Macaca fascicularis: one gene and its partners. The protein of the gene in region 1 binds, or shares a complex with, the protein of each later gene. Links are inferred from orthologs where the notes say so. Each region holds a gene or a part of one and is shown on either strand. Other genes may lie near its edges.

The links.
Region 2: MTA2 (region 1) and HDAC2 share a complex: the UniProt entries of both Homo sapiens proteins name them as parts of the nucleosome remodeling and deacetylase (NuRD) repressor complex. The link is inferred for Macaca fascicularis from reciprocal best matches to the Homo sapiens genes MTA2 and HDAC2.
Region 3: MTA2 (region 1) and CDK2AP1 share a complex: the UniProt entries of both Homo sapiens proteins name them as parts of the nucleosome remodeling and deacetylase (NuRD) repressor complex. The link is inferred for Macaca fascicularis from reciprocal best matches to the Homo sapiens genes MTA2 and CDK2AP1.
Region 4: MTA2 (region 1) and CHD5 share a complex: the UniProt entries of both Homo sapiens proteins name them as parts of the nucleosome remodeling and deacetylase (NuRD) repressor complex. The link is inferred for Macaca fascicularis from reciprocal best matches to the Homo sapiens genes MTA2 and CHD5.
Region 5: MTA2 (region 1) and HDAC1 share a complex: the UniProt entries of both Homo sapiens proteins name them as parts of the nucleosome remodeling and deacetylase (NuRD) repressor complex. The link is inferred for Macaca fascicularis from reciprocal best matches to the Homo sapiens genes MTA2 and HDAC1.
Region 6: MTA2 (region 1) and CDK2AP2 share a complex: the UniProt entries of both Homo sapiens proteins name them as parts of the nucleosome remodeling and deacetylase (NuRD) repressor complex. The link is inferred for Macaca fascicularis from reciprocal best matches to the Homo sapiens genes MTA2 and CDK2AP2.
Region 7: MTA2 (region 1) and CHD4 share a complex: the UniProt entries of both Homo sapiens proteins name them as parts of the nucleosome remodeling and deacetylase (NuRD) repressor complex. The link is inferred for Macaca fascicularis from reciprocal best matches to the Homo sapiens genes MTA2 and CHD4.

Annotation. Positions count from the first base shown.
Region 1 is NC_088388.1:11,457,067-11,461,141, forward strand, and holds the start of MTA2 (metastasis-associated protein MTA2), read left to right. Parts: upstream 1-1,275; 5' UTR 1,276-1,690; coding exon 1,691-1,718; intron 1,719-2,454; coding exon 2,455-2,522; intron 2,523-2,890; coding exon 2,891-2,984; intron 2,985-4,075. Other genes in the region: EML3 (echinoderm microtubule-associated protein-like 3), read left to right, coding at 253-383, 464-667. UniProt on the Homo sapiens protein: May function as a transcriptional coregulator. Acts as a component of the histone deacetylase NuRD complex which participates in the remodeling of chromatin.
Region 2 is NC_088378.1:17,981,119-17,984,618, reverse strand, and holds the end of HDAC2 (histone deacetylase 2), read left to right. Parts: intron 1-559; coding exon 560-715; intron 716-2,298; coding exon 2,299-2,356; intron 2,357-2,965; coding exon 2,966-2,996; 3' UTR 2,997-3,337; downstream 3,338-3,500. UniProt on the Homo sapiens protein: Histone deacetylase that catalyzes the deacetylation of lysine residues on the N-terminal part of the core histones (H2A, H2B, H3 and H4).
Region 3 is NC_088385.1:130,396,411-130,399,910, reverse strand, and holds part of CDK2AP1 (cyclin-dependent kinase 2-associated protein 1), read left to right. Parts: intron 1-583; exon of another isoform or gene 584-641; intron 642-1,532; coding exon 1,533-1,627; intron 1,628-3,482; coding exon 3,483-3,500. UniProt on the Homo sapiens protein: Inhibitor of cyclin-dependent kinase CDK2. Also acts as a component of the histone deacetylase NuRD complex which participates in the remodeling of chromatin.
Region 4 is NC_088375.1:228,756,403-228,759,902, forward strand, and holds part of CHD5 (chromodomain-helicase-DNA-binding protein 5), read left to right. Parts: intron 1-521; coding exon 522-646; intron 647-1,759; coding exon 1,760-1,991; intron 1,992-2,209; coding exon 2,210-2,320; intron 2,321-2,600; coding exon 2,601-2,773; intron 2,774-3,500. UniProt on the Homo sapiens protein: ATP-dependent chromatin-remodeling factor that binds DNA through histones and regulates gene transcription. May specifically recognize and bind trimethylated 'Lys-27' (H3K27me3) and non-methylated 'Lys-4' of histone H3.
Region 5 is NC_088375.1:202,730,427-202,734,478, forward strand, and holds the start of HDAC1 (histone deacetylase 1), read right to left. Parts: upstream 2,801-4,052; 5' UTR 2,704-2,800; coding exon 2,655-2,703; intron 2,632-2,654; exon of another isoform or gene 2,438-2,631; intron 1-2,437. UniProt on the Homo sapiens protein: Histone deacetylase that catalyzes the deacetylation of lysine residues on the N-terminal part of the core histones (H2A, H2B, H3 and H4).
Region 6 is NC_088388.1:6,866,745-6,869,935, forward strand, and holds CDK2AP2 (cyclin-dependent kinase 2-associated protein 2), read left to right. Parts: upstream 1-1,362; 5' UTR 1,363-1,386; coding exon 1,387-1,593; intron 1,594-1,687; coding exon 1,688-1,820; intron 1,821-2,173; coding exon 2,174-2,241; 3' UTR 2,242-2,691; downstream 2,692-3,191. UniProt on the Homo sapiens protein: Acts as a component of the histone deacetylase NuRD complex which participates in the remodeling of chromatin.
Region 7 is NC_088385.1:7,528,353-7,532,638, reverse strand, and holds the start of CHD4 (chromodomain-helicase-DNA-binding protein 4), read left to right. Parts: upstream 1-1,486; 5' UTR 1,487-1,597; intron 1,598-2,211; exon of another isoform or gene 2,212-2,327; intron 2,328-2,444; 5' UTR 2,445-2,522; coding exon 2,523-2,622; intron 2,623-4,286. UniProt on the Homo sapiens protein: ATP-dependent chromatin-remodeling factor that binds and distorts nucleosomal DNA. Acts as a component of the histone deacetylase NuRD complex which participates in the remodeling of chromatin.

The DNA of each region.
Region 1 (4,075 bases):
GAACCCTGCTGGAGGGGTGGGGGACAAGGTGGAGCCCAGTTTGGGCTCGGAACGCTGGGCGTGTGTCATTGGGTGAGAGTCCAGAAACCTGAAGATCCAGCCCAGGAGGCCCCTCCGGCCCTCGGGACCGGGAAGGCTTTCCTGGAACGCGACAGTGGGTGGCTGCGGCTGCCGGAGCGCCTGAAACGGTGTAGCTCTGGGCCGTGGGTGGCGGTGGGTAGGAGGTCGGGCTGAGGCCGGCCACTGTGCTAGGCGTGTGGCCGGACGGCTCCGATGGGACCGACATCAACTCCCTGTGCCGCTCCCACAACGAGCGCGTGGTGGCGGTGGCCGACGACTTCTGCAAAGTGCATCTATTCCAGTACCCGTGCGCTCGTGCCAAGGTGAGGCCGCGGGGGCCGCCGGGGTGGGACGGGTGGGCCCGAGGGCTCCGCCGCCACTGCAACTCTTCCCTCCCGCCCAGGCGCCGAGCCGCATGTACGGGGGCCACGGCAGCCACGTGACCAGCGTCCGGTTCACGCACGACGACTCGCACCTCGTCTCGCTGGGCGGCAAGGACGCCAGCATCTTCCAGTGGCGAGTGCTGGGCGCTGGGGGCGCGGGGCCGGCGCCTGCCACGCCCTCTCGAACCCCCTCCCTGTCCCCCGCCTCCTCCCTCGACGTTTGATCGCTGCCGGCGGGACCTACTGGCCTGGCGGCGTGGCCCCGCCCCGCTCTGCCCCGCCCTAATCCCCCACGACCAGGGGCCGACTCTTTCCTCGACTGACTTCGAAACATTCCCGACGGTGCATTTCCCTGGAGGGCGCGAACGGCGCCCCTGCACACACTGTTTAGACCCGCTGGTTGAGCCGGGCAGCCCCAACCTAGGCCTTGACTCCCGCTGCCTGCTGAGGGGCAATAAACCAGAACCAAAGTCGCCTCCCGGTGCTTTTGTGGGGCGCTGCTGGGTGCCTCCGGGGCCCTGTGGGGTGGGGACGAAGGAAAAGAGGCGTGCGGAAAGGGCAAGGGAGCGTAGACCATTTATGCAAATAACAGGCAAAGCCGCTTGCAAATAACCTGGCGAAGCGCTAAGGCGCGCGAGTCTTCGGGGCGGGAGGAGGAGCTGCAGGGCTCCAGCTAGGACAGAGTTAAGCCCCACTCCTCTCCCGCCCTCGGAAAAAGGGGTGGGGGGGTGCCGAGCTGCAACGGAAATAGCCGAGCGATTGGCCGACAGGAGCCGAACTTCTTCCGGAAGTAGCCGATCTGCGGGGTCTCGCTCTCCGACCTGAGCCGAGCAGTGGGCCTTGTTCTCCGGATCGGCCGAAGGTGTTCCGGAAGGAGGCGAACCCTGAGGCGGGCCGGGCAAGCCTTCCCTGCGGCCGGCAGAGCCCAACGACTAGTGGGACTCGGCGGGGGTGGGGGCAGCTGCAGCCTGGCTCTCGCCTGGCAGGAGCCGAGCTCGTTCCGGAAGAAGCCGAGCGGACCGGGGCCAGCCTCAGCGTCCCGGGAGTGAGGCGATAGCTGCGGCGGCGATAGCGCGGGCCGGGATGAACCGCGACGGCTGAGGCAGCGGAGGTGACGGCTGCGCGGGCCCCAGTGAGACTCCCTCGAAGCGCCAGCCCACCGTTCAGGGCTTTGCCTCTAGCCGAGCCCTGCCCCCGCGAGCCTCCCGGACCCCTTTGTGCGGCCGGAGGCGGCGGCGGGAACGGCCATGGCGGCCAACATGTACCGGGTGGGAGGTGAGTACCGGGCGCAGGGGTACAGGGTCCGGGGCGGGAGAGGTTGGGGTCGGGACCGGAGGGGCTCGGCACCGGGTGGCGCGAGGCGCAGCGTATGGGGCGGCATGGACCGGAGCGCGGACCGGAACCGGAACCGGGAGACGAGGAGCTAGGGTGCGGGAAACCGCGACGCGGCAGGGCGCCGAGACTCCTGGAGAGAAGCTGCGGGCAGCCCCGACGGCACTTTCAGGGCTGCGTCGGGGGCTCCTCGGGGCACGGAGTGGGCTTCGGAAACCGGTTCCGAAGGAGCTGACAGGGTGGGGAGGGAACGCGAGGGGCTGGGGCGACGGCTTTGCCACCGCGGAGGAGCCGCCCGGAGGTTTCCTCTTCCCAGGCGTTATTGTGCGCCTCAGTTCGAAAAGGTGGGGGCCCTGCGCTAGAGCGAACAATTACTTCGCCGCGACTGAGGTGCAACTCGTTGCTGAGTTGTGGGGACTGCAGGGGAACCCCTGCTTCTTGCCTGTTCCTTAAGGCTCACTTTTGAGTAATGGATCTGATTTTAGAACTAGGTGCGGTGGGGGTGGGGGACATCCTTATTTTCTCTTAGTCTTTACACTTTCACATCTCAGCGCGCTCTCTGCCTGAATCCTTATCTTCTTTTGATCCACTCAGGCCAACTTTCTCTCCTACTGTGGTGCTCTGCGTCTCTCCCATCTCCTCTGATCTTCGTGGTTCTCGCCCCTCCCTTCCCTTACAGATTACGTCTATTTTGAGAACTCCTCCAGCAATCCTTACCTGGTTAGACGGATTGAGGAACTCAACAAGGTGAGTGGAGCAGAATCCCTCTCCCTCCCTCCCCCAGTGGTCTCTTCTGAGGTTTCTAACTTCAGGTGGAAGAGAGGACCCTATACTAAGTACCCATTCATATTCATTCATTCATTAATTGGATGTATTCAGGAAAGGCTATTGAGAGCTTAGCAGGAACTTTACTATTCTGTCTCTTGGGGGCAAAGGAAAGGGATTTGGAAGTCTGTCCTTGAATGTAAGTATTTACTCATATTTTCTTGGGCTTTTTAATTTAGGTCCCTCCGAAACTTACTGTTATTTGTCTCTTTGTGTATTTCTGTTCCCAGATGATCAATTTTCACTGCTACGTTGTTTTGTTTCTGTTTTTGTTTTTTTCCTCCCCTTAGACTGCAAATGGAAATGTGGAGGCAAAGGTCGTCTGTCTTTTCCGGCGCAGGGACATTTCTAGTAGCCTCAACAGCTTGGCTGATAGTAATGCCAGTGAGTATCTTCATCCCTTTCTTTTCCCCCTCCCCATGATCTGAGGCCTGCGCATGTCCCTGCAGGTATTTCCCCTGGTAGCATGCCCAAGGCAGAGGTGTGAGTTTGAGGGTGGGAAATGCCTGGCCTGAGGAGGGAGACCTGTTTTTACACGTTGGGGTTGGAAGCAGGGTGGAGAGATTGTGATAAGGAAAGCCATGATATGGTTTGTGTATGAGAGTAGGAGAGAGACGATACGGTTTATTTAGGGGATGAAGACGGGGTTTAGAGAAACAGAATGCTTTTCTAAAGGGGGGCAGTTTGGGGTACACTGGGACAGTAGGTGGTGACTGAAGGTCAAGGTGAAGAGGAAGAGATTGTACTGAGAAGCCCGCATAACAGAAGCAGCCTTATTTTGTAATCACAAGGTGGTGAGAATACCTGGAAGTTAGAAGATGGCTGGAAGTTTTCTTGCACTTTTTAATTTCTCACCTTGCCCATTTCCCCACCTGCCACCCCCCATTTTACATCTTTCCCTTTTCATTTTGCTCTATTTTCATCCTCTTTAAGGTCTCATTTTCTTTTTTAAAAAAAAAAATATTTTCTTAGCTTCTTTTTCCTTTCCTGCTTTGGTTTTCTTTTTCCTTCCTTTTGTTCCACCTTTCTAAATCATTTTCCTTTTTCAGACTGCTCTGGGTGAGAAGGGGTTAAAGAGGATCCTGGCTAACCAAGTTCCCTGGCCCTTTAGGGTTTCCAGCCCCATCTGGCAGGGGCTGACCTTGGCCTTGTCCAATCAGAAGGGGTGTTGGGGGTGTGGTCCCCCTTGCCTTAGCACAGGGTTTCCGGAGCACACAAGCGAGGGGTGGAGCCTACTGCACAACCCCCCCTTCTCCCTGAGGTTGGGAACAATGCACCAATGAGCCTGGGCCTGAGGCTTTTCTGCCCCCTCCCACTTTGGTTGGCGCCTAGCCAGATTAACCCCTTCCACTAGGTTTCAGGGCAAGCTGCAGCTCTTTCAGGAGGAAGATGTTGGCACTAGCTTGAGAGGTGTTGTCCTTGAAAACCCTAGGAACTATTATTAGCCAAGTAGAGAATGAGGGATAGTTAGGGCT
Region 2 (3,500 bases), on another chromosome or scaffold:
TGATTGAAAGTTATCAAAAGCTAGCCACTTCAGTATATTTGGCAATTAATAAGACATCTCATTTATTTGAAGTAGGGTGAACCAAATAACTAAACATCTGTTTGATTTTGCAACTTCTCATTACACTTAATATGATGGTTAGATTGTAGCATAATGGTACATGTAGTGGTATAGACTGTCTAACATATTTGGTATTGGTACTTTTTTTGGTCTACTTCACCTCTCAGCTCTGAAATAAAATGCTACTTTTTAAGTAATGATATTATTCCTATCCCCATTAGAAAAACACACTTTTTTCCTTCAGAGTTTCAGCATTTTTAAAAGAAAAAGAAATTCCCCCAATTTTTATTATGTGTTTTTGAGCCATTTCTTCATACTTGAAAGCAAAGTTTTCAATATTAAGTAAACCATTCATTCCATTCAAATTTTAAAATCATTAGGCATCTGTTATCCTTTACCTTTAAATGTGGTAACTGCTGGTGCGTTTGTATGAGTATGCTATAATGATTATAAAACCTATGACTCTTTTTGTCAAAATTTATTAAAATCTTTTGTGCAGTTCGAGCATCAGACAAGCGGATAGCTTGTGATGAAGAATTCTCAGATTCTGAGGATGAAGGAGAAGGAGGTCGAAGAAATGTGGCTGATCATAAGAAAGGAGCAAAGAAAGCTAGAATTGAAGAAGATAAGAAAGAAACAGAGGACAAAAAAGCAGGTCAGATTTGTTTCTTGGTAGTTATTTTAATTGTAAATTTTAAAAATTGAGCTACATTGTAATGTTTATGAGATCCTAAAGTCAGTTTCACAAGTATCAAAGGAGGAAGTATGCTAGGTAGATGACTCTCTTTTTTCTTACATGTAAGTGGTGCTTAGCTCTTAAAGCTTTTATATAAATGTTATTGTTCCTGTTTGCTTTAATAATATAGGAAACTTTATCTTCTTGATAACGTGGGTTTAAAATAGTAAACATTGTACTGTGATAGAGATTGGGTAAGAAAGAGGACAAAGTAATTATGAATCTATTTGTAATGCATGGTCAGAACTGAACTTCTAAGGTAATTTTTAACTACCTAAAGCTTATTTAATGGGAGAAAACACAAAGAAGAGTTACATACCCTTAGACTAGTTTTGCCATTTTGAAAAAGGTCAAATAATAGATTTTGTTCAGAAATTGAAGAAAACATTAAAAGCTCTGAGGAAAGCTAGGAGGGGATTTGGGATGTGGGTTAGGAAGGAGTTAATACGTTGATACATTGCCTTACCTTAAAACGCTGTGTTAGCTTTAGGCAATTGAATTTGCTACCTGAATCTGTTACCTTTCATCTGACTTCCCAGAACACTTACACATGCCTCTGCCATTTTATTTAACACATATTATAGCACCTCACAGGATTTTGTCTCCCTGCTAGATTGAGCTGCTCATGGCTAGGGAACACAATATCTTAAATACTTGTATTCTCAGCGCTTGATGCATTTCCTAATGCAGGTAATGGTGATGAGCACACGTTTTAGTTAACCTGTTAATTTTTATCCTGTAGCATGTGAAAAACTGATTTAGAGGTACTGATCCAATTTTTCCTGTATCTATCAAATTGAAGTTATGTGAATAAGCTGGCTTTTTTTTTTTTTAACTAGAGAGTTCGTAATTTGTAACATCTGACACATCTAGTTCTATTCTTTTCCTTGTGAATTCACTCCTCAATAGGCTACATACAGTTCTCTATCTACCATTTTATAATTTTAACTTCGCAGTGTATTATAATGATGGCTTCAGTCTATATTTGTATACTGATTGACATCCAAAAATTCAAGCCATGACTGAGGTAAGGACTTGACTTTAGCTGTAGGATTTTTCTAACTTTTTTTCTTTTCTTTCATTTTCACTATGTCGTCGTCTTGTCTATTTTTTGGTGTTGTCATTTTTAAAAGCTTTATCTTTTCTGTGCTTAAAAAATAAACCCTCTATTTGGTGATGGGGCTCTTCTGATAGGGCCTTGCAGTTGTTAAACTTCTTCAGCCTACAGAAAAATGAAATACACTTTTTAAATCTATAGGTCAAAACCTAGAGTTAGGGCCACCTGTTCTCTTCCTCCCCACCCCAATCCAGTGACTGTTCATAGCTTGTACTGCCATCGTTTAGGAAACACCCAACACAAAGCTTATTTAGACCCTAATTCATTAATAATAAGATTGCATGATACTTTTTTATATTTTAAAAATAAAGTATATTTTGAAATAATATATATACATTTTATATTTCAAAATAGGTTTTAATCTTTTCCCAATCTTTATTTTTAGACGTTAAGGAAGAAGATAAATCCAAGGACAACAGTGGTGAAAAAACAGATACCAAAGGGTAAATGATGTTCCTTATTGAGTACTTTTTACATACTATAAAAATGCTAAACATGTTTATTGGTGTGTGTGTGTACACACTTCAGAAATACTAGACTGAACCTTAGAACATCATTATGAGGTGCTCTGAATTTTAGTTTGTATTGGTACATAAGACAACATATGCCATCTTACCTATTGGTTTATCAATATAAACTAAGTCAGTTTGTATTTTTATACATCATTTATCTGAGATCCTTTTTTGCTATTGTCTTTTATATGTGCACTTAATGGTTTTCATGGTGTTATTTCTGTGTACATGATTTTTTTAGTGTTGTGAGATAGGTACGTTTAAGAAACAATTTTAAGTAAAAACAGTTGAGGATTTTATTGTCAGAAAGCATGTAAAAGTTTGAGCATACATAATTTTGTGCCAGCCTTTACAGGATAACTTGGAATGATTATAAAATCACTAGAAAGATTAAGGCATTAATTATCCAGAAACACTTAAGACATTATCAATTAATGTGTTTGTTAGCATGAGCCTACAGGACCTGATCAATAGAGTAGGTCAGTGCATTGAAATCGAGATTGTGCCATTGTTAATATTTCACATTGCCTCTTTTAACAGAACCAAATCAGAACAGCTCAGCAACCCCTGAATTTGACAGTCTCACCAATTTCAGAAAATCATTAAAAAGAAAATATTGAAAGGAAAATGTTTTCTTTTTGAAGACTTCTGGCTTCATTTTATACTACTTTGGCATGGACTGTATTTATTTTCAAATGGCTTTTTCGTTTTTGTTTTTCTTGGCAAGTTTTATTGTGAGTTTTTCTAATTATGAAGCAAAATTTCTTTTCTCCACCATGCTTTATGTGATAGTATTTAAAATTGATGTGAGTTATTATGTCAAAAAAACTGATCTATTAAAGAAGTAATTGGCCTTTCTGAGCTGATTTTTCCATCTTTTGTAATTATCTTTATTAAAAAATTGTACTTGGATTGTCTTTTGTCTGTTTATTACTACAATATGAAATCTTGTTTCAACGGCTAATGACATCATTTCTTTAGACTTACAATACACTCTAGATGAAAGATAATAATTACAGCTCGAAAGATATCTTATTTGCTGTTTCTTTGGGAAGAGTATTTATAGTAATTATTA
Region 3 (3,500 bases), on another chromosome or scaffold:
TGGGGGACATCGCCCTGCCCAATTCCTGCAGTGGCCGTGGACGTGCCGGATATCGCGGGCGTAGTGCTTCCCCATCCCAAGCCGCCCATCCCTGTAGCACACGTGTCTCGTCATCCCCATGTGGGAGGCATGGAAACTGAGGCTCGGAGTGGCATGGTGCTCTGCCCAGTTCAGGATCCAAGTCCACGTTTCCAGGTCCAGCCCAAGCTGGAGCATAACCCTGGGCTGCAGTGGTGGCATCCAGGGCTGGCCTGAGACTCAGGGAGACAACTCGGGACTGTCCCCGCTCCCGGATGCTCCTGGACAGAGGGGCAGGTGCTGAGGTAGCTGGCTCCCTGCATGGAGGGGCAGGTGCTATGCTGTGTGCCCTGGGGCAACTCCCTCAGGTCCATGTCTCTAAATAGAGGGGCCTGGAGCCAGGGTTCTCCAGGGCTCCTCCCGGCTCCCCCAGCCTGAGGCCCTGAACTTCCTTCCTCCTCTGCCCCTCCCCTCACCCACACCAAGTGAGCAGCTGGTGGGTTTGGCCAGCCTGGCACCAGCTGTCCATCCCCGAGGCCAAGTCTGCAGCGCCCGCTGTGTGTGTGAGAGAGAGACCGTGTGGCTCTGGGGGCGGCAGGCGGGCAGCTGCCGAGGAGGACTAGGTAAATTCTCCATGGTTACCGCTGTTTGTCATTCTGCAGGATATCCTTTACCCGCTAATGGCCACTGGGACGCCATTGCGGGGCCGCGTGCTCCCAGCCTCAGACTCCCCTCCCAGATCCAGGAGGCTGCGTTCTGGGCTGGGCCCTGCTTGGTCACTGACTGCAGCCCTGGACAGGCCCCAATGTTGCATCCCATATGTGGGGCCTCAACCCTCCTCTCTTGGAATGCAGAGCCGTTGGGACATAGACTGCCAAGAGTCTGGTCCCCTCTTTGGGGAGGGGGAGACAGGCACAGAGAGGTTGAGGGGCTTTATCTGGGGCACACAGAGGCCGTGGTGTTCTCTAGATTCCTAATTTGATGTCCAGCATGCCTGTCTCCAGCCAGGGTTGGGTCTCAAATACTCTAAGGCCTTCCCATCTTCCCCGTCATTGAGCACAGCAGAGATTTCGGTGCATAGGACAAAAAGGCTTGGAAGCTCCGCTGGTTTGGACCAGCCTCCATGGCAGTGGGCTCTTGTGGTATGATGTGGCCTCTAGGTTCTCAGCCTCTGGGGCCAGGACACAGGGAGAGGGGATGGGCAGGGATGAGGCCAGGAGTGGCAGTAATTTTATCTTTGGGAGCAGCCCTGCTGCTTGGAAGGTTCTGGTTGGACAGGACGGAGCTCTGTGAGGACCAGCAGCTGCTACAGAGCTGGGGATGGCCGAGTGCCTTGTAGCTACATTTCATTATCCGTCTTCTACACTGGTCAGACTAGAGGTGGAGAGCAGGGTTCTCTATCCTGCTACAGTTGGTGGTGTGGGTCCTGGGCAAGGGCCATTGCAGGACCTGGAGTCCTTGCCTTGGTACAACTGGCTGAGCTGACTCCTGGCCTCTCTCTCCCCACCCCACAGCTGGGAGTGTCCACTCTCCTTCCACCAGCATGGCGTCTTCACAGTACCGCCAGCTGCTCAGTGACTACGGGCCACCATCCCTAGGCTACACCCAGGTATGGCAATGGGGGTGATGGCATGGTGGGAGGGCTGGGGGGAGACATGCTCCCCACCATCAGAGGAGAGAAGCTGGTGGAAGAGACGAAGGAGCAGAAAGTATGGGACAGAGCTTTCTCAGCCCAAGGCCCTGACTGGGCTCCGGCTCAGAACACATCAGAATGGAGGGCACTGGGGACTGTGTTTCGCAGGGACGTGTGAGGTGGAGCGGACAGGAGAGCACCAGGAAGGGGCAGCAGCCCGAGCTGCGCTGCGGCCCCCACCCCACGCGCTCCTCTGGTGGGTCTCCTCACTTCTCTTTCCTGGGCAAGTGAGGCCTGGCCTTGACCCTGGCTCTCCAAGCTGGGACAGAAAACGGCCGGTTCCCACTTGCTCTCCACGGGCGTGGGCCCAGCAGAGAGGAGGTGGCCTTGTCTCGAGAGCCAAGGTGCCTCTTGTGGAGGGCCAGTGTTTGAGAGTGTGGCCCAGGCGAGGCCGCTGCCTGGTTCCACCACTTTCCAGACTGTGACCCCCACTTGGTAACTGCCCAAGACCTGGGCTCCTCATCAGCCCAAGGGTGATCCTAGTACCCCCAGCCCAGGCTGGGGAACAGCAGGAATGGGGTAGCCACCATGTCAGCTGCACCCCACATCTCCAAGGGATGAGCTGCCCTGTCGAAGGTCCCAGCGGGAAGATGCTCTCCCTGGCTGGGCCCCAGTGCCAGTGTTCTGAGGTCGCCACGGAGCCTGTTCCTTGCCGAGTGGGCGGCTTCCCAGCCATGCCCCGCCAAGCCGTCCTGCCCCAGAAGGAGAAGCAGGTGCGGGCCCGTGAGCGGGACCAGCTGAAGAAGCGGTGGCTGCGGGAGGCCAGGCAGAGGCGCAGCCGGGAGTGGCAGTGCCACATTCTGGCCATGCGACGGCGGCGCCGAGACAGGCAGGAGGCCCGTGAGGCCTGGAGGCAGTGCCGTGGGGAGGCAGAGCAGCTGGACCAAGATGAGGACAGGAGGACAGAGCGCAAGGCCAGGGGACAGAGGCGGCGGTGGAGGAGGGAGGAGGCGAGGACCTTGCCCAGGGAGCTGGTGCAGCTCTGGGAGGAGGCAGCCAAGGGGAGGTGGTCTGGGCTTGCGGGCTTGCCGGGAGCCCAGCCTCGCTGATCCGGGTGCTTGCTGTGGGGCTCCCAGTGGTGGTGGGAGGAAAGGGTTTCTGGGGGGTGGGCCCTGTGGGTGGGAGGATGAGAGAAGGGAATGCATTCCAGGCTCTGGCGGGGCCATGGCCGATGGCTGTGGTCCTGGTGGCCCAGGTGTGGCCTCTGTCTCCCCACTGGCTTGGAGGCTCGGCACCTGCGATGTGCCCTCCTACTCATCTGCATCCTGGGAAATGCTGTTTGGACTCTTTTGTGCCAAGATGAGCTGGTTCCCCTGTTTTGTTCATTGGAGATGATACACTTGCTTCCTGGAGGCGACTGGGTGGTCTTCCTGAGTGTGTGAGGATAGAAGGGTGAGGACCATCCCCCTAACCTGTAGTTGTCCCCTAGAATGGGACGTGCCTTGGCCCAGCTGAGGTGGCTACCCCAGGAGTCTAAGGCTGGACTGCGTTCCCTCCTCTGACCGGCCCAGGGGCCTCTCCACCCACCTGCCTGTGGCCTTGGGGTCAGGCTGCTGAACCCCTTTTTTTTTTTTTTTTGAGATGTTGAGATGGAGTCTTGCTCTGTCGCCCAGGCTGGAGTGCAGTGGAGCGATCTTGGCTCACTACAACCTCTGCCTCATGGGTCCGGTCCAAGCAGTTCTCCTGCCTCAGCCTCCTGAGTAACTGGGACTACAGGTGCCCACCAACATGCCCAGCTAATTTTGCTGAACCAATTTCTTTCTGATTCTAGGGAACTGGGAACAGCCAA
Region 4 (3,500 bases), on another chromosome or scaffold:
GTCCCAGGTCACTGCAGGGCCCCGAGAGGCTGAGAACCTGCCATCCTGTGACAGGGTTGCCCAGTGGGGTGGGACCCCAGGCCCCGGAGCTGTGCCCCTGAGTTTTCCCGGGCTGCCCTGGCAGCATCGGTGGGCTAAGGGAAGCCAGGGGTGGGAAGCTCGGGGGACATGGAGGACTGAGCTCTCTGGGCTCTGCTTGTACTTTGCTGGCGGCTTGCACTTTGTTTTTTGCTCATCTGGGCTTTGAAAATTGACCTCCTCGTTCCAGTGACCTCCCACTGGGCCAGGGCTCAGAGCACGCTGGGGGCTAAGTGGGCTTGGGCAGGCCTCCCCTCTGGCTCCCCTGAGTGCAGCTGTGGCCACCTGTCTCTGATGGAGTCTCCGGCTTTGTCCTTCTCTGCCAGGGACCTGTTGCTGCAGTTCCTTCCCTCTGTTCTCCCCACCTCCTTTCTGCCACGCCCGTCTCCCCGCCCAAGGTACACCCCCACAAACACCCCCATCTGCTGGCCTCTCTTTTTCAGCCCCCGGGGCCCAGCAATTCTGCTTCCTCCTTTCAACCCGGGCAGGCGGCCTGGGCATCAACCTGGCCACAGCCGACACTGTCATCATCTACGACTCGGACTGGAACCCGCACAATGACATCCAGGTCTGTGCCGCTGCCACCCGTCACCCTCCCAGGGGGCCTCTCATCCCGGGCCTCAGGCAGGTTCTGTCCTTCATGCCCTCCTGGCCATGGCCCCCTCACCTACCCTGCTGCTGTGGGCCTCCGTCCCCTATGGAGTCTCGGCCCCAAGACGGGCCCTGGGAGTGAGTGGAAGCTCATCCCTCCAGCTCCGTCCTTGTCCAGAGGAGGAAGCAGGCTTGGAGAGGGCAGGGAGAAGGCAGGGGAAGTGTCCCGGGGCACACAGCAGTTCGTCGGGGCCTCTGATCTGGTCTTTCCCATGCTCAGGACCAAGGAGGGAGGCAGGAAGAGGGAGCCCTGGGACCCAGAGGGGCACCCATTTTGGAGGGGGCGGGGAGCAGAGAGTGGGGCCTGTGGGAGGTGAGTAGGGGAGGATGAGATAGTGCAGGGGGCAGATGGGGCTGATAAGGAAGGATGGAAGGGCTGCGGGGGGAGGGGCTATGGGAATAGAGCCACCCTCGTGTCCCTGGCCACCCCTCTCGGGCACTGGGACACACACATCGAACGCTTACAAATGTAGGGGAACACATACAAATTGATGTCTCTCATTCACGAGTGTGTGCGCCCATGCACACAGATACACACGGCCACACCCAGGTCACCTCATGCAGGGCCGCACAGAGGCACTTCCTTGTATGATATTGGGCAGATTCAGCTCCTTGCTGCCCTCAGAAGGTGGCTGCGCGCCTCCAGCACATGGTCTTGTGGTCCCATTAGTGGTTCGCTCACAGGGAAATGCAGCCTCCTCCTACCTCCCCATGGCCCCCATGAAGCTCTGTGTAGCTTCAGTTACACTCAGCACACTGGCCGTGTCATCCCTCCCACACTCTTGCACACCTGCAGTCCTGCCTGCTTCCACTGGCTGGGAGTTTTTCCACTCCAAACCCAGCCTGGCACCCAGGCTCGTGGGAGGCTCCGCAGTCAGGGAGGGAGCCCAGCTGCAGGGGTGCACGCACCACATGCCTTTGCCTACACAGTCATGCACCCCATTCCATGCTCTTGAGCTCATTGGTGTGAACCCTTCCATTGCCTGGAGCCCTGGGTGAGCCACGGGTGCTGAGGTGCAGGTCTCCCCAGGCCTTCAGCCGCGCCCACCGCATCGGCCAGAACAAGAAGGTGATGATCTACCGCTTCGTGACTCGGGCCTCAGTGGAGGAGCGCATTACGCAGGTGGCCAAGCGCAAGATGATGCTCACCCACCTGGTGGTGCGACCTGGTCTCGGCTCCAAGTCGGGGTCCATGACCAAGCAGGAGCTGGATGACATTCTCAAGTTCGGCACAGAGGAGCTCTTCAAAGACGACGTGGAGGGTGGGCCTCTGTTCCGAGGGAGCATGGCGGGGCCTGGGGTGGTCCCACTGAGACACCCATCCAGGGCTTGCTGGGGTCCCTGCCCGCTCCAACACACAGCCTCTCTCCTGCACCCCCAACCTGTGTCTGCTGGCCAGGACAGCCCAGGGTGGTGTCTGCCCGTCAACCCTGCAGCCGTCTGTGCTCCTGCACCAGTGCTCTCCTCCTCTGTCTGACAGGCATGATGTCTCAGGGCCAGAGGCCGGTCACACCCATCCCTGATGTCCAGTCCTCCAAAGGGGGGAACTTGGCTGCCAGTGCAAAGAAGAAGCATGGTAGCACCCCACCAGGTAGGGGTCAACCCAGCCTAGTCTCAGCTCCTCCTGCGGCCAGGTGGCTGTTCCTGCAGAGGAGGGGTTCCTCGACCCACCCTCATTTGAGTGTCCTGGGACTGCCGGGTGGACGGGGAGCGGAGCTGTGACAGCGCGGTTTCCTCTGTCTGGTCACCACGCCTCTCAGCTGCAGCCCCTGGTGGGGATGGGAAGGGCCATTGTTCGGAGTCTGTTCCCGGGTCCCCGGGGCTGGATCAGGGCAGTCTTTGTCCCCACACTGCACTTGCCTGCTCCCCAGGTGACAACAAGGACGTGGAGGACAGCAGTGTGATCCACTATGACGATGCAGCCATCTCCAAGCTGCTGGACCGGAACCAGGACGCTACAGACGACACGGAGCTACAGAACATGAACGAGTACCTGAGCTCCTTCAAGGTGGCGCAGTACGTGGTGCGCGAGGAGGACGGCGTGGTAAGGTCCCAGCCTGCCCTCCTTCCGCAGCCCCGCCCTCCACTGTGCCCACGCCTTCCACTGTGACCCCACCCTCCTGCCACAGCCAGCCCCCCAAGCTGTGACCCCGCCCTCCAGCCTCAGCCCCCTCCTCCAGCCGCAGCCCCGCCCTCCCTGCTATGACCCCGCACTCCAGCCTCAGCGCCCCCTCCAGCCGCAGCCCTGCCCTCCCTGCTGTGACCCCACACTCCAGCGTGTGCTCCGCTCTCCAGCCACATGCTCAGCCGTCCCCGCAGGGGCCCTGTCGCCCCACCCGTGGGCTCAGGACTAGGCATAGCAGTGAGGGAAGGGACGGAGGCAGTGTTGAGGGCAGTACAACTACATGGACTGGCCACTGCCCTTGCACACATCAGCCGCCTGCTCCGTGGCATCATCCCGGGTCCAGTCCAGCTTCCCCACTCTGAAGTGCAAGCTGATCTGCCACCCCGTTGCACAGAGCCCTGTGCCCAGAGTCTGGTTTCAGTCCCTACCCGGCTGCACCCTCCCAGCCCTTCCTCAGGGCCTGCATCTCAGCCCTGCACCTGGACTGCCAACATTCCAGAACGCCCTACACTTTTCTTTTTTTTTTTTCCTGAAATGGAGTCTCGCTCTGTCGCCCAGGCTGGAGTGCAGTGGCACAATATCGGCTCACTGCAACCAACGCCTCCCAGGTTTAAGTGATTCTCGTGCCTCAGCCTCACAAGTAGCT
Region 5 (4,052 bases), on another chromosome or scaffold:
AGCTGGGACTACAGGCATGTGCCACCACACCTGGCTAATTTTTTTATTTTTTTGAGATCGAGTCTCACCCTGTTGCCCAGGCTAGAGTGCGGTGGCGCAATCTTGGCTCACTGCAACCTCTGCCTCCCAGGTTCAAGTGATTCTCCTGCCTCAGCCTCCTGAGTAGCTGGGATTACAGGTGCGTGCCACTACGCCCAGGTAATTTTTGTATTTTTAGTAGAGACGGGGTTTCACCACGTTGGCCAGGCTGGTCTTGAACTCCTGGCCTCGAGTGATCTCCTGCCTCGGCCTCCCAAAGTACTGGGATTACAGGCGTGAGCCACTGCACCTGGACCCCATGACTTTAATTTCTTTCTCTTTTTTTTTTTTTTGAGACGGAGTCTCCCTCTGTCGCCCAGGATAGAGTGCAGTGGCATGATCTCCACTCACTGCAAGCTCCACCTCCCGCATCCACACCATTCTCCTGCCTCAGCCTCCCAAGTAGCTGGGATTATAGGCGCCCGCCACCACGCTCGGCTAATTTTTTTGTATTTTTAGTAGAGACGGGGTTTCACAAGTTAGCCAGGATGGTCTCGATCTCCTGACTTCGTGATCTGCCCTCCTCAGCCTCCCAAAGTGCTGGGAGTACAGGTGTGAGCCACCGTGCCCAGCCCATGACTTTAATTTCTAAGGTATAAACCTGATGATGTCACTAACCTGCATAAAACTTGAATCATTCACAAGTGCCCTCAATAAAGTCCAACTTCCTTGGGACAGCATGCCCAGCCCTTCATGGTCTGGTCCCTGTTTACATTTTTTTTTTTTTAAGACATAGCCTCACTCCGTTGTCCAAGCTGGAGTGCAGTGGTATGATCTTGGCTCACTGCAACCTCCACCTCCCGGGTTCTAAGGGATTCTCCTGCCTCAGGCTCCAGAGTAGCTGGGATTACAGGTGCGCGACACCATGCCCGGCTAATTTTGTATTTTTAGTAGAGACGGGGTTTCGCCATGTTGGCCAGGCTGGTCTCGAACTCCTGACCTCAGATGATCCACCAGCCTTGGCCTCCCAAAGTGCTGGGATTACAGGTGTGAGCCACCTCACCTGGTCGGTCTCCATTTACTTCAGCAACCACATTATTTGCAACACTTCCCTCGCCCCGGGTCCCCACCTTCTACAATAGGCCCCCAAATCTATGTCTCAGCCATACTGTTACAAATGCCTTTGGCCGGGCGCGGTGGCTCACGCCTGTAATCCCAGCACTTTGGGAGGCCGAGGCGGGCGGATCACAAGGTCAGGAGATCGAGACCACGGTGAAACCCCGTCTCTACTAAAAATACAAAAAATTAGCCGGGCGCGGTTGTGGGCGCCTGTAGTCCCAGCTACTCGGGAGGCTGAGGCAGGAGAATGGCGTGAACCCGGGAGGCGGAGCTTGCAGTGAGCCGAGATCGCGCCACTGCACTCCAGCCTGGGCGACAGAGCGAGACTCCGTCTCAAAAAAAAAAAAAAAAAAAAAAAAAAAAAAAAAAAAAAACAAATGCCTGCTTTTCTTTCTTCCCTTTTTTTTTTTTTTTTGAGACAGAGTCTTGCTCTGTCACCCAGGCTGGAATCCAGTGGCCTGATCTCATCTCACTGCAACCTCCACCTCCCAAGTTCAAGGGATTCTCCTGCCTCAGCCTCCCAAGTAGCTGGAATTACAGGCGCGCGCCACCACGCCCAGCTACTTTTTATATTTTTGTAGAGACAGGGTTTTGCCATGTTGGCCAGGCTGGTCTCGAACTCCTGACCTCAAGTGATCCGCCTGCCCTGGCCTCCCAAAGCGCTCGGATTACAGGCGTGAGCCACCGCGCCCGGTCAAATGCCTGTTTTTCAAAGGTGCTGTCCTCTCTCTTGCCTCTGAAACTTGCTGTTATCTTTGCCTTCCCTTTGCCTGGCTAAGAACTCCTGTTCTTCAGGTCCTGAGACGTCCCCTCCTTCGCTGACTCCTCAGGTGGAGTTCGGTGCCTATTCTCTGTGCTCCTCTAACACTCTGAGCTCTGACACGGAGAGAACTTCGGTCACTGGGACCCGATCATTCCCACCGCCCCAGCCCCTCAACACTTCCTCGAACACAGTAACCTGCTTGAGAGATTAAGTGAGAAGCCTGTTTTAACAGGTTGCATCCTTCTCCTTGCAACCCCTGGCGCCCCACGTCGCAGTAGCAACCGCAGGCCCCGCTCAGAGGCTGGGGGAGGGGAGGCGGGCGACCAGTCGTGCAGGGCTCTTCTCCCAGAAAAGATGAGGAAGAGACGGGGCAGGGAAGAGCTTTGGGTTCTCGGCAAGAAAATGTATCCTTGCAGCCGTCTCCATCAGATTCAGCCTCCCTCCTCGGACGCACCCTCCCCTCTAGGAGTCCCACTCAAACTCTCCACATCAAACTCTCCACATCAGACTTCCTCAGAATCTTCCCACCAAGATTACCTCAGGGTTCCCCCACGCGATCCCCTCGATCTCAGCCTCGATCTCCTTTCCTCACAGCCTCCTCCCTCAGCCTCGACTTCCCCCTCGCAGCCTCCTCTCCGAGCCTCTCCCCAGCGCCTCAGCCTCCCGCAGCCTCCCATCGGCGCTCCAGCCTCAGCCTCCAGGTCCCCGGTTCGGCCCGGCCCGGCCCCGCCCCCGCCGCGAGGACAGTGCTCACCGTCGTAGTAGTAACAGACTTTCCTCCGGGTGCCCTGCGTCTGCGCCATCTTGCTCGCCTCCCGTCCCTACCGTCAGTCGGTCCGTCCGCCCTCCCGCCCGCGGCTCAGCTCAGCGTCCGACCCAGGGGGGAGGGGGCGGGTCTCCGGCCCGCCCCGCCCGTCTCCTCCTGAGCTCACCTATAGCCGCGCAGCCCGGGCACCGCTCCAGCCAATCAGCTTGCGCAGACACGGGCCCGGAACTCGGCAGGGGGCAAGGGCAGCCCGGAGAGGCCGCCGAGGGCCCCCTGGGCCTGTACCAAGGTCTGCGACAGATGGGTGGGGAGCCGCCCGGGGACCGTACCATCAGTCCCGGGGGAGGAAAGCAGCTCCGTAAACTTAACAGTCCCACTTGGTCGTGAAAAGCGTGCTTGGAGATCGGAGGCCAACTTTCTGATTTTACGGAGAATAAACCGAGGCCTACAGGGGAAAAGTGACTTGCACAAGGTCACTCAGCCAATAAAAGGGCTGAACCTGGGTTAGAAAGCGAGTTTGTGATCGCAAAGGAGGGCTACAGAAAAATAATTAAATTAAAAAGAAAAGCAACACGCTGGTTTTGAGAGGAAGAAACTGACAAGAAAGGGAAAGAAAGCTGTTTGTCGAGGGGCTGCTGTGTGCCAAGTACTGTGCGACAGTTTACCAATGTTATTTCAGTTTTTCCTCAAAACACCTCTCGGCCAAGGGCTTTTTACCTCCATTTTACAGGACAGGATAAAGAAGTTCAGATTTCTGTGAATTACTCAAAGTTACACAAAGTAATTAAATTCAATTTTTCAACTGTACAGGGTTTTTTGAATGCCTTCTTTGCACCAGAGGCACTGTAACAAAGTGACAGAACCCAGCCTTTCTGACTCCAAAACCTACCTCCCTGAAGCAGTCACCCAGGATGACTTAAGTAGGAGTCTCTTTAGACAGGAAGAAATGGGATTATCCTATGATAGGAGAGCAGATTTTCCTTTCCTTTCCTTTCCTTTCCTTTCCTTTTTCCTTTCCTTTTTCCTTCCCTTCTCTTCCCCTCCCTTCCCCTCCCCTCCTCTCCCCTCCCCTCCCTTCCCTTCCCTTCCCTGAGGACAGTTCCGCTTTAGTTGCCCTGGCTGGAGTACAATGGTGTGATCTGTGCTGTGTGATCTCGGCTCACCGCAATCTCTGCGTCTGGGTTCAAGCGGTTCTCCTGCCTCAGCCTCCCGAGTAGCTGGCCTTACAGGCATGCGCCACCACGCCCGGCTAACTTTGTATTTTTAGTAGAGACGAGGTTTCTCCATGTTGGTCAAGGTGGTCTCCGACTCCTGAGCTCAGGATCCGCCCGCCTCGGCCTCCCAATGTTACAGGCATGAGCCATGGTGCCTGGCCTAGAAGAGCAG
Region 6 (3,191 bases), about 4.6 Mb from region 1:
GTGGAGTGGAAAGGTATGGGGGCCCCGGAGTGGGACAGGAAGCTCTTTATGACTATTCATTTAATCCACACAACCCAATGAGATTGTCATTTTCCCCATTTTACGGATGGGGAAACTGAGGCATACTGAGGTGAGAAACTTGCCTGGGGGAAATCGCTAGTGGGGGTGGTACTGAGATTCGAACCCAGGCGGTTGGCTCCAGTCTGTGCTCTTGACCAATTTGGTCCGGTGCCCGGCACACAAGTAATCCCTGTTTGCCCTACGGCCATTATCACTAACTGAGGCAGCGGCGCGGGGCCTTGGGGGTGAGGGCAAAGGGGTCCTTGAGGTCGCCCTTGGACCTGAGGACAAGCCAAGCCTCAGGAAGAACGGTGCGCGGCGGCATAGATGAAGGGCCCGTTGCCATGGGAACAAACGCAGGCCTCGGGCGGGCGCATGCGCAGATCGGGGAGAGGGTGTTGAACCGGTGAAAAGTGACGTAAAAGCGCACGGGGTGGGGCGCGGGGCTCGGGACGTCAAAGCCCTGCGTCCTTCGGCCCCCGGAGCAGAGAAGCGCGCACGGCAGCGGTGACAGCGGCCACGGCAGCGGCGACAGCAACCCCTGCTGGGCCGAAACTGGGCAGAGCGGAGCAGACGTCTGAAGCAGCGCTAGTGAGGCGCGAGGGTGGCGCCCGCGCCCGGGAAGACCCCCTCGGCGCGAACCGGCGGCCCAGCCCCGGGTCCGGGTTCCCGAGGCCCCGCCTCTAGGGCCTGGGGACTAATCGGATTGAAAGCGCGCCGGCCCGGGCCGCGAACTCGCCAATTGCGGAGGGCGGTGGCCACCGCCCAATCCGGAGCAGACAGGTGCGAGGTCCGGAAGGCGGAGGCCAATCGGCGGCGGTTGCGACCTGCTGGGGCAGGTCTCGGCCAATAAGGAGGCTCGAGTGACATCTTCGCCCACCAATCGGGAGTGAGGGAGCATTCGTGCCCGCTCGCCCTTCCGGCCAGACCTCTATTTACCAGGGGCGTGCAGCCCGCTTGCCAATCAGAGCGCGGCTGAGCGGCCCGGCAGCCAACCCCCGAGGAGCGGCCGGCTGGCGTCCGCCGCGCCCAGGAGTTGGGGATGTCCTACAAACCCATCGCCCCTGCCCCCAGCAGCACCCCTGGCTCCAGCACCCCTGGGCCGGGCACCCCGGTCCCTACAGGTGAGGATCCAGCTCCACCCCTGCTCGCCTGCCGGGCGGTCGAGGTCTCGAAGAGAAGACGGCCTGAGTTCTGCAATACTGGGCTTGCCGCCTACCCTCGCTGAGCCTCAGTTTGCTGGCCTGTGAAGTGGGCGTGGTCACGTAAGGGCTTGTAGGTGGAGCGCAGTGGGAGGGATTTGTCCCTGAAGTTGATCAGCCTGGAATGAAGCATCCTTTGGAGGGAATCGGGCGAACCCGGTCCTGGGCTTGGAAAAGCTGGGAGGCGGCGTCCCTGCCCCGCGCTGACCTCTTACTCGCGCCTGTTGCTGCAGGAAGCGTCCCGTCGCCGTCGGGCTCAGTGCCAGGAGCCGCCGCTCCTTTTAGACCGCTGTTTAACGACTTTGGACCGCCTTCCATGGGCTACGTGCAGGTGAGTGGGGCCAAAGGCTTGCTTATGGATGGGGACTGGAGTCCCCCTCCCCGCCAGGTGCCTGAGCTCACTGCCCTGTTCTCTTTTGACATAGGCGATGAAGCCACCCGGCGCCCAGGGCTCCCAGAGCACCTACACGGACCTGCTGTCAGTCATAGAGGAGATGGGCAAAGAGATCCGGCCCACATATGCTGGCAGCAAGAGCGCCATGGAGCGCCTGAAGAGAGGTAAGTGAGGCCAGGCCGCCCTGCTTAGGAAACCGACACTGGACTATCTTCCATTAGGGAAAGAAAGACATCCGGAGGCCACCTGAGCCAAGCCTAGAGGAGGGCCAGTATTACTACCCAGAGAGGTGTTTTGAATCGAATTGAAATTGCGTCCATTTCCAGGGAAGAGCCTGGGAATTTGTACTTCTACAGGGCAACCTTGAGGATTAACCAAACCTCTAATCTCATCTAGCCGTCATTAGTTTGGAATTTCTCTTGCTGAAAGGGGAAAGGGAGTGGGGAGGCAGGGGTCCTCCTCTGGAGGGCAGTGGGTGGGGCTGTGGAGCGTTGCTGAGACCCCACCCCACCACCAGGTATCATCCATGCTCGGGCCCTAGTCAGAGAGTGCCTGGCAGAGACAGAGCGGAACGCCCGCACGTAACAGGAAGCGCCCCGGCCTCAGCGTCTGGACCTTTCCCGGCCACTGCAGAGCACCCGCTTCTCCCTGGCCTTCATCCCGAGTTGCACTAACCATCCTGGGCTTCCTGTCCTGTGTCCCTTGGTGGGTCCCCTCCAGGAACCAAGGAGCGGCTCTCCAGGTGGCAGCACTAAGGACATCCCCCCACAACAAGAGTTAGCAGCGAGGTCCCCATGAGTCCCACCCATGACCTGCCAACAGTGTTGCCCACCGGAACTTTCTGTGGTCCCCACCGCTCAGCCCTTCCCAGCCCTTCTCCCACTTTGTCCCGAGCGTCCTTCTCCCCCAGCAGGGGCTCAGGCCTGGCACCTCACTGCCTTGTGTCCTGAGCCATAGTGACTCTTTTATCTGTGTGTCTTTTGCTAAATATGCCCTTTTTATATTAATAAAAGATGATTTGGAGTTGTGCTCTCAGCTCTGAGCCTTTCTGGGTCTGGTTCTTCAGCTAAGCCTGGGTGGGCCAGGCAGAGAAAGGGGAAGAGGAGACTAGGAGTGGGGAGGGTGTGACTAAACAGGGTTTGACTTGCCTCTGTGGGCCATCAGCCTCAGGTGGGAACCGGGCCCTCTCCGCCCCAGCCGTGGCGCTGAGAGCCCTGGGCCTTCCTGTGGTGCCACCAGGGGGCAGCACAGGGCCTGGCTGCTTCCACAGCCCTTGGCGCTATGGGCAGCCTGGGCCTGGAGGGCGCTTCCTCTGGATTGGCGGTGATGCCTGGCAGCATGGAAATGCCAGTTCACGTAAGCCACTCCCTCAAACGCCCTAATGCCCTGACAACACCCCAGCCTCTGAATCAGCCCTGAAGGTCTCTGACTCCTCAGAGAGAACGGGCACTGCTGCTTCCAGCCCTTGGCCTCACAGTCAAGGGGAGGGGCTGGCCGGTTGCTGCTGTCACTACCCCAGCACCTTGTAGCAGGCT
Region 7 (4,286 bases), on another chromosome or scaffold:
TGAGAGATAGTCTTTGGATGGGAGTTGGTAATTATTATGGGATGTTGTAGGGTGAATTAGACTTCATGTAAATGTTTCATCTGTCAGCTTGGTATTTTGGTTGGTTGGTGTTCCTCAAAACTTAGGAGCTGGAGGTAAGCATCTGGAAAATACCTGGATTTTGGTGGGACTAGGTGGGGCCCTAGGTGGGCTTCTAGCCCCCAAGTGTCTGGAAATGATGGTATGAGGGAAGCTGGGGTCCCAGACATGAGGAGGCTTTTTGCCAGGATACTGCTTTGGCCCAGAAAGGGATTAAGGTGTGTGCAAGTGGGGGCGGGGACAGGGAAGCGTGGGTAGCCTGCCTGGCCCTCCCTGCTTTGGGTGTTAGAATAGACTGACAGCGCCTGGAGATGGGGGTGGGAAGAATATGAATATTATGGGATGCCTGGCTCAAAGGGTATAGGGGTGGTGGAGTGGAGATGAAGCATTATGGGATGTGACACTGGGTTGTGTTGGGAGTATTACGGTATGTTTGGTTGACCACGGGCTCCTTGCAATTATTATGGGATGTCAGGATGTGGGTAGGAGAGTAAAATTATTATGGGATAGCTTTCCAGTGTCAGAGGAAAAGAGATTAGATGTCCATCTGTGGGGCGACAGTAGGGCTGTTGATCATTACGGGTTATCTTTTTGATAGAGGAGGGGTACTTACTATATAGGCTGTGGAGCTAGAAGAGGGAAGGGTGGGGGTGACGTGAGCCTCTAGACCCTAGCCTGCAGGGACTGAGGGCAGCCCTAGGGGGTTAGTTATTACGGGATGTCAGTATAGAAAGTGGGAGACTGATTATTATGGGATGTGTGTGGGAGGAGGCCGAGTGTCCGTTGTTGTAGTATGGGGGGGGTGAGTTTCAGACTATTATGGGATGTCAAACTGGGGGTGGATGAAGGATGGTTATTATGGGATGTCTGTGGGGGATGGGGCTGAGTATTATGGGATATGAGGCATAAGTGCTGGGAGGGGTGCTTATTATGGGATGGCCATGGGGAGGGAGGGGTGAATTATTATGGGATGTTAGCATTAGGGCCAAGAGTGAAGAAGTTGGCAAAGGATGGCTATTATGGGATGTCTAAGAGGGTTAGTTGCAAAAGGTCTGCAATATTATGAGATGTCAGCAGCCCCTGGCATATGTGTATGAAATGTGGGGGGGCAGGGTGTGTGTGTGTGTTGTGTGTGTGTGTGTGTTTTTTGGGGGGGGGGGGTGTCCGTGTGTATTATGGGATGGCCAGGAGGTGGGCGGTTGCCCAGGTGACACGCGCGCGCGCGCTCGAAGGGGGCGTGGCCAGTGGTTGCCTGAGCGACGAGGGGGCGGGGGTTGCCCGGGAGACCTGGGGAGGAGGGTGGCGGTAGTGGAAGGGGGGGTTGGAGTTGGTTGAGGTTATTATGGGCTGTCCGTGGGGGGGCGGGGCCTGTGCGGTGGGATTTCCCGGCCGGTGTTTCAGGCCCTTTAAGAGGCGACGCCGGAGCCGGAGCCATTTTCCCCCCTTCGGCCGCGGCGAGGAGGAGCTGGAGCGGGAGTGACACTGAGCCGGACCCAGCGCGACCTGCGGCGGCTCCGGGGTGAGGATAGCGCGGGGTTCCCAAAGAGACGCCCCTCACGGCCCGACCAGCCCCGAGGGTCATCCCGTCAGCCGCCCCTTCCTTAGGCGTCTCCGGACCCGCGGACCGCCCCTTGCCCAGAGGAGCCGACCCTTCCTTTCCTGGCCTGCAGGGCGCCCGGCCTCCTCCCTAGCACCCGCCCTAACCCTGCCGGAGTCTTGCTCCCCGCGACCCCCGCCTTCGGCTTGGTCTCCCACAATGCCCGGCGCCCACCCCCTCGCCCTTTGATCACTTGCCCCCCCGGGACACGTGGCCCGGCCCCCTTCCCGGTGGGACGCTTTAGCCCCCCGCGTCCCTGCCTCCGGCCCCCCGCAGCGCCCGAGCCTCCACGCCCCCTCGTCTCCGCAGCTCTTGAGGAGAACCTGAGTTGTCCCAGAGGACAGCCTTTGGAGAGCTGCCCTGTCTGGGGACTGGCCCCTCCCCGGGCGCAGGGAGGCGCCCCCCCACCCCCAAGTGACCTTGTGTCCCAGAGCGTTTCGCCGCCTGCCGCCTCCCCTGGCCCCCCCGTGCCGCTGCCACTCGGACCCCCTCCCCCGTCACACCCCGCTCGGTCCAGCCCGGCGTCTCCCCTCCCCGCGCTTGCACCAGCCTGCCCTCGGAGGCGTCGCTCCCTCGCTCCGTGGGGGCGCCTGCCGGGGAGCCGGCTTCCGGGCTGCCCCCAAGGAGTGTGGAACTAAGTTCAGCCTGAGCGGTTCGGGTGCCCTGCTAGGGTGGCTGGGGTGGGGGGCGGAAAGAGCGGGTGGGTGTGGGGGAGGGGGACAGTGCGCGTCACTGACTGTTCTCTGTTTCTCCCCCCTCCCCCGCACAGTGACTCGGGCCAGTGTAGAGGGCCCCAGGCCGCCGGCAGGAGCAGCTGGGCCAATTCCCTGGCCGGGAGCGGAAGGGGATGGCGTCGGGCCTGGGCTCCCCGTCCCCCTGCTCGGCGGGCAGTGAGGAGGAGGATATGGATGCACTTTTGAACAACAGCCTGCCCCCACCCCACCCAGGTAACATCTTCCCCAAGGGCCCAGGGCGGGAAGGAGGCATCTGGGGCTCTCCCGAGTGACTGCTCTGGTGAGGCAGGACTGTGTTGCTCGGCTGTCTCTGTGCAGAGCCGGAGGTGGAGGGCATCCGAAGGGAGTGGTTCCCTTCTGCGGAGCTCTGGTGTGAGGGGGGTGGAAGCCATGTGCCTCTTGGGCACCGCGGACGGAGATGCCAGCTTGCTGCACTCTGTCTTGAGGAATGCTCTGCAGTTCCCAGTTGAGGGAGCTCTCTGGGCTGGCAGGCATTACCTTGTGTGTGGGTCCTCGGAGGAATGCAGGTAGCTGGGACCCCTGGAGGCTTGTGGTGGTGGCGGAGGGGGGCATTGAGGATTCTATTTGAAAGACCAGCCCGGCATCTGTGCTAGTAGGATCCTGTGGTTGCCGCTGTGGAAAAGAAAGAGGGAGTGCTGGTTACACTCTATCTGATTATTTTTAGCTTCTGATCAGTTACCGGTTTTCTGTGCTGTCTCAGCTGTGTGAAGTTTGAATCGCGCTCCTCAGCAGGATCTGGAGTGCTTTTAGCCAGGCAGATTGCTGGAATGTTTTGAGTGGGGAAGTGATGGGGGCTTGGGAAGGATGTAATAGCCTAGTGAAGAGGGGCAAAAGAAGGGAGGGCATCTCTCTTCTCTTGGTGAGTGGACATAATTTTGGCTTTTTTCCTACTGGCTTCTGCCTCTATGAGGTAGCCTGGCGTTTAGGCTAGCAGTGTGAAGCGTCTGTGTAGGTGTGCTAGGGGTTGCTCTATCTGTGTTTTGGGGTGGCTCCATGAACTGGCCAAACCCGTATGGTTATAACTACATTGCCTGATTGGGGGAGCCCTTGTCTATCCTCAAATGATGGTTGATGTCATGTTCCTAAGCAGATGTCTTTCTCTTCTGTGTCCTTTTTCAGAGTCCCTAGCTAAGTCATCTACTTGTTTCCTTGACCTTCGTGTTTTCTAGGTTCATTTTTTTTCCTATGTGTCATTTCTTCATTCTTTCTGCTTCTACTTTTCTTCTCATTTTGGAGCCTGCTGATCCTGGTTTTGTTTCTCATCCAGCATCATTCAGTTCTGCCTTCTCTCTTCTTAGCTTCAGCGGAAGTTGAGGTGGTCTGGGAGAGATGCTTTCACATTTGGTACTTTTTAAGTTGGAAGTCTTGACTTCAACCTGAGGCCATTTAGGAGAGGGGTTAGTGTTGTCATGGAGTCTTGGCTGTTGGGATGAGAAACTTGGTTTCATCCTTGTGTAGGGTAGGGGGGCAGATTTCCATGCCCTTGCCCAAGGTGAGGGCAGGGTGGTGGTGCTGGTAAGGGGACCCCGTCCTTCTGAGAGGCGCATGAGAAACAGTAGTGCTGCCTAGACATTGTGGGTTCCACATCTTGGCCTCCCATTGTCCCCTTGGGCTGGGGCTGCCTTTCATGTTGACTGGGAGCTGCGCAGGAGCTGTGAACTCTGTCCTGAGCTGTAGCATGACCCACTTTTTTCACTTGCCACACCCTATTCCTGTCCCTTTCCCAAATCTTCCTCTATATCTCAGTCAGTTTGTTGTTTGCCATTTCAGCATATTATTTGCTTGAGAAGTTTGGGGGTTCCATGTGCATGGAAGGATGTCCCCTTTGCCTCTATGGGTTATCTTTATCTCCACTT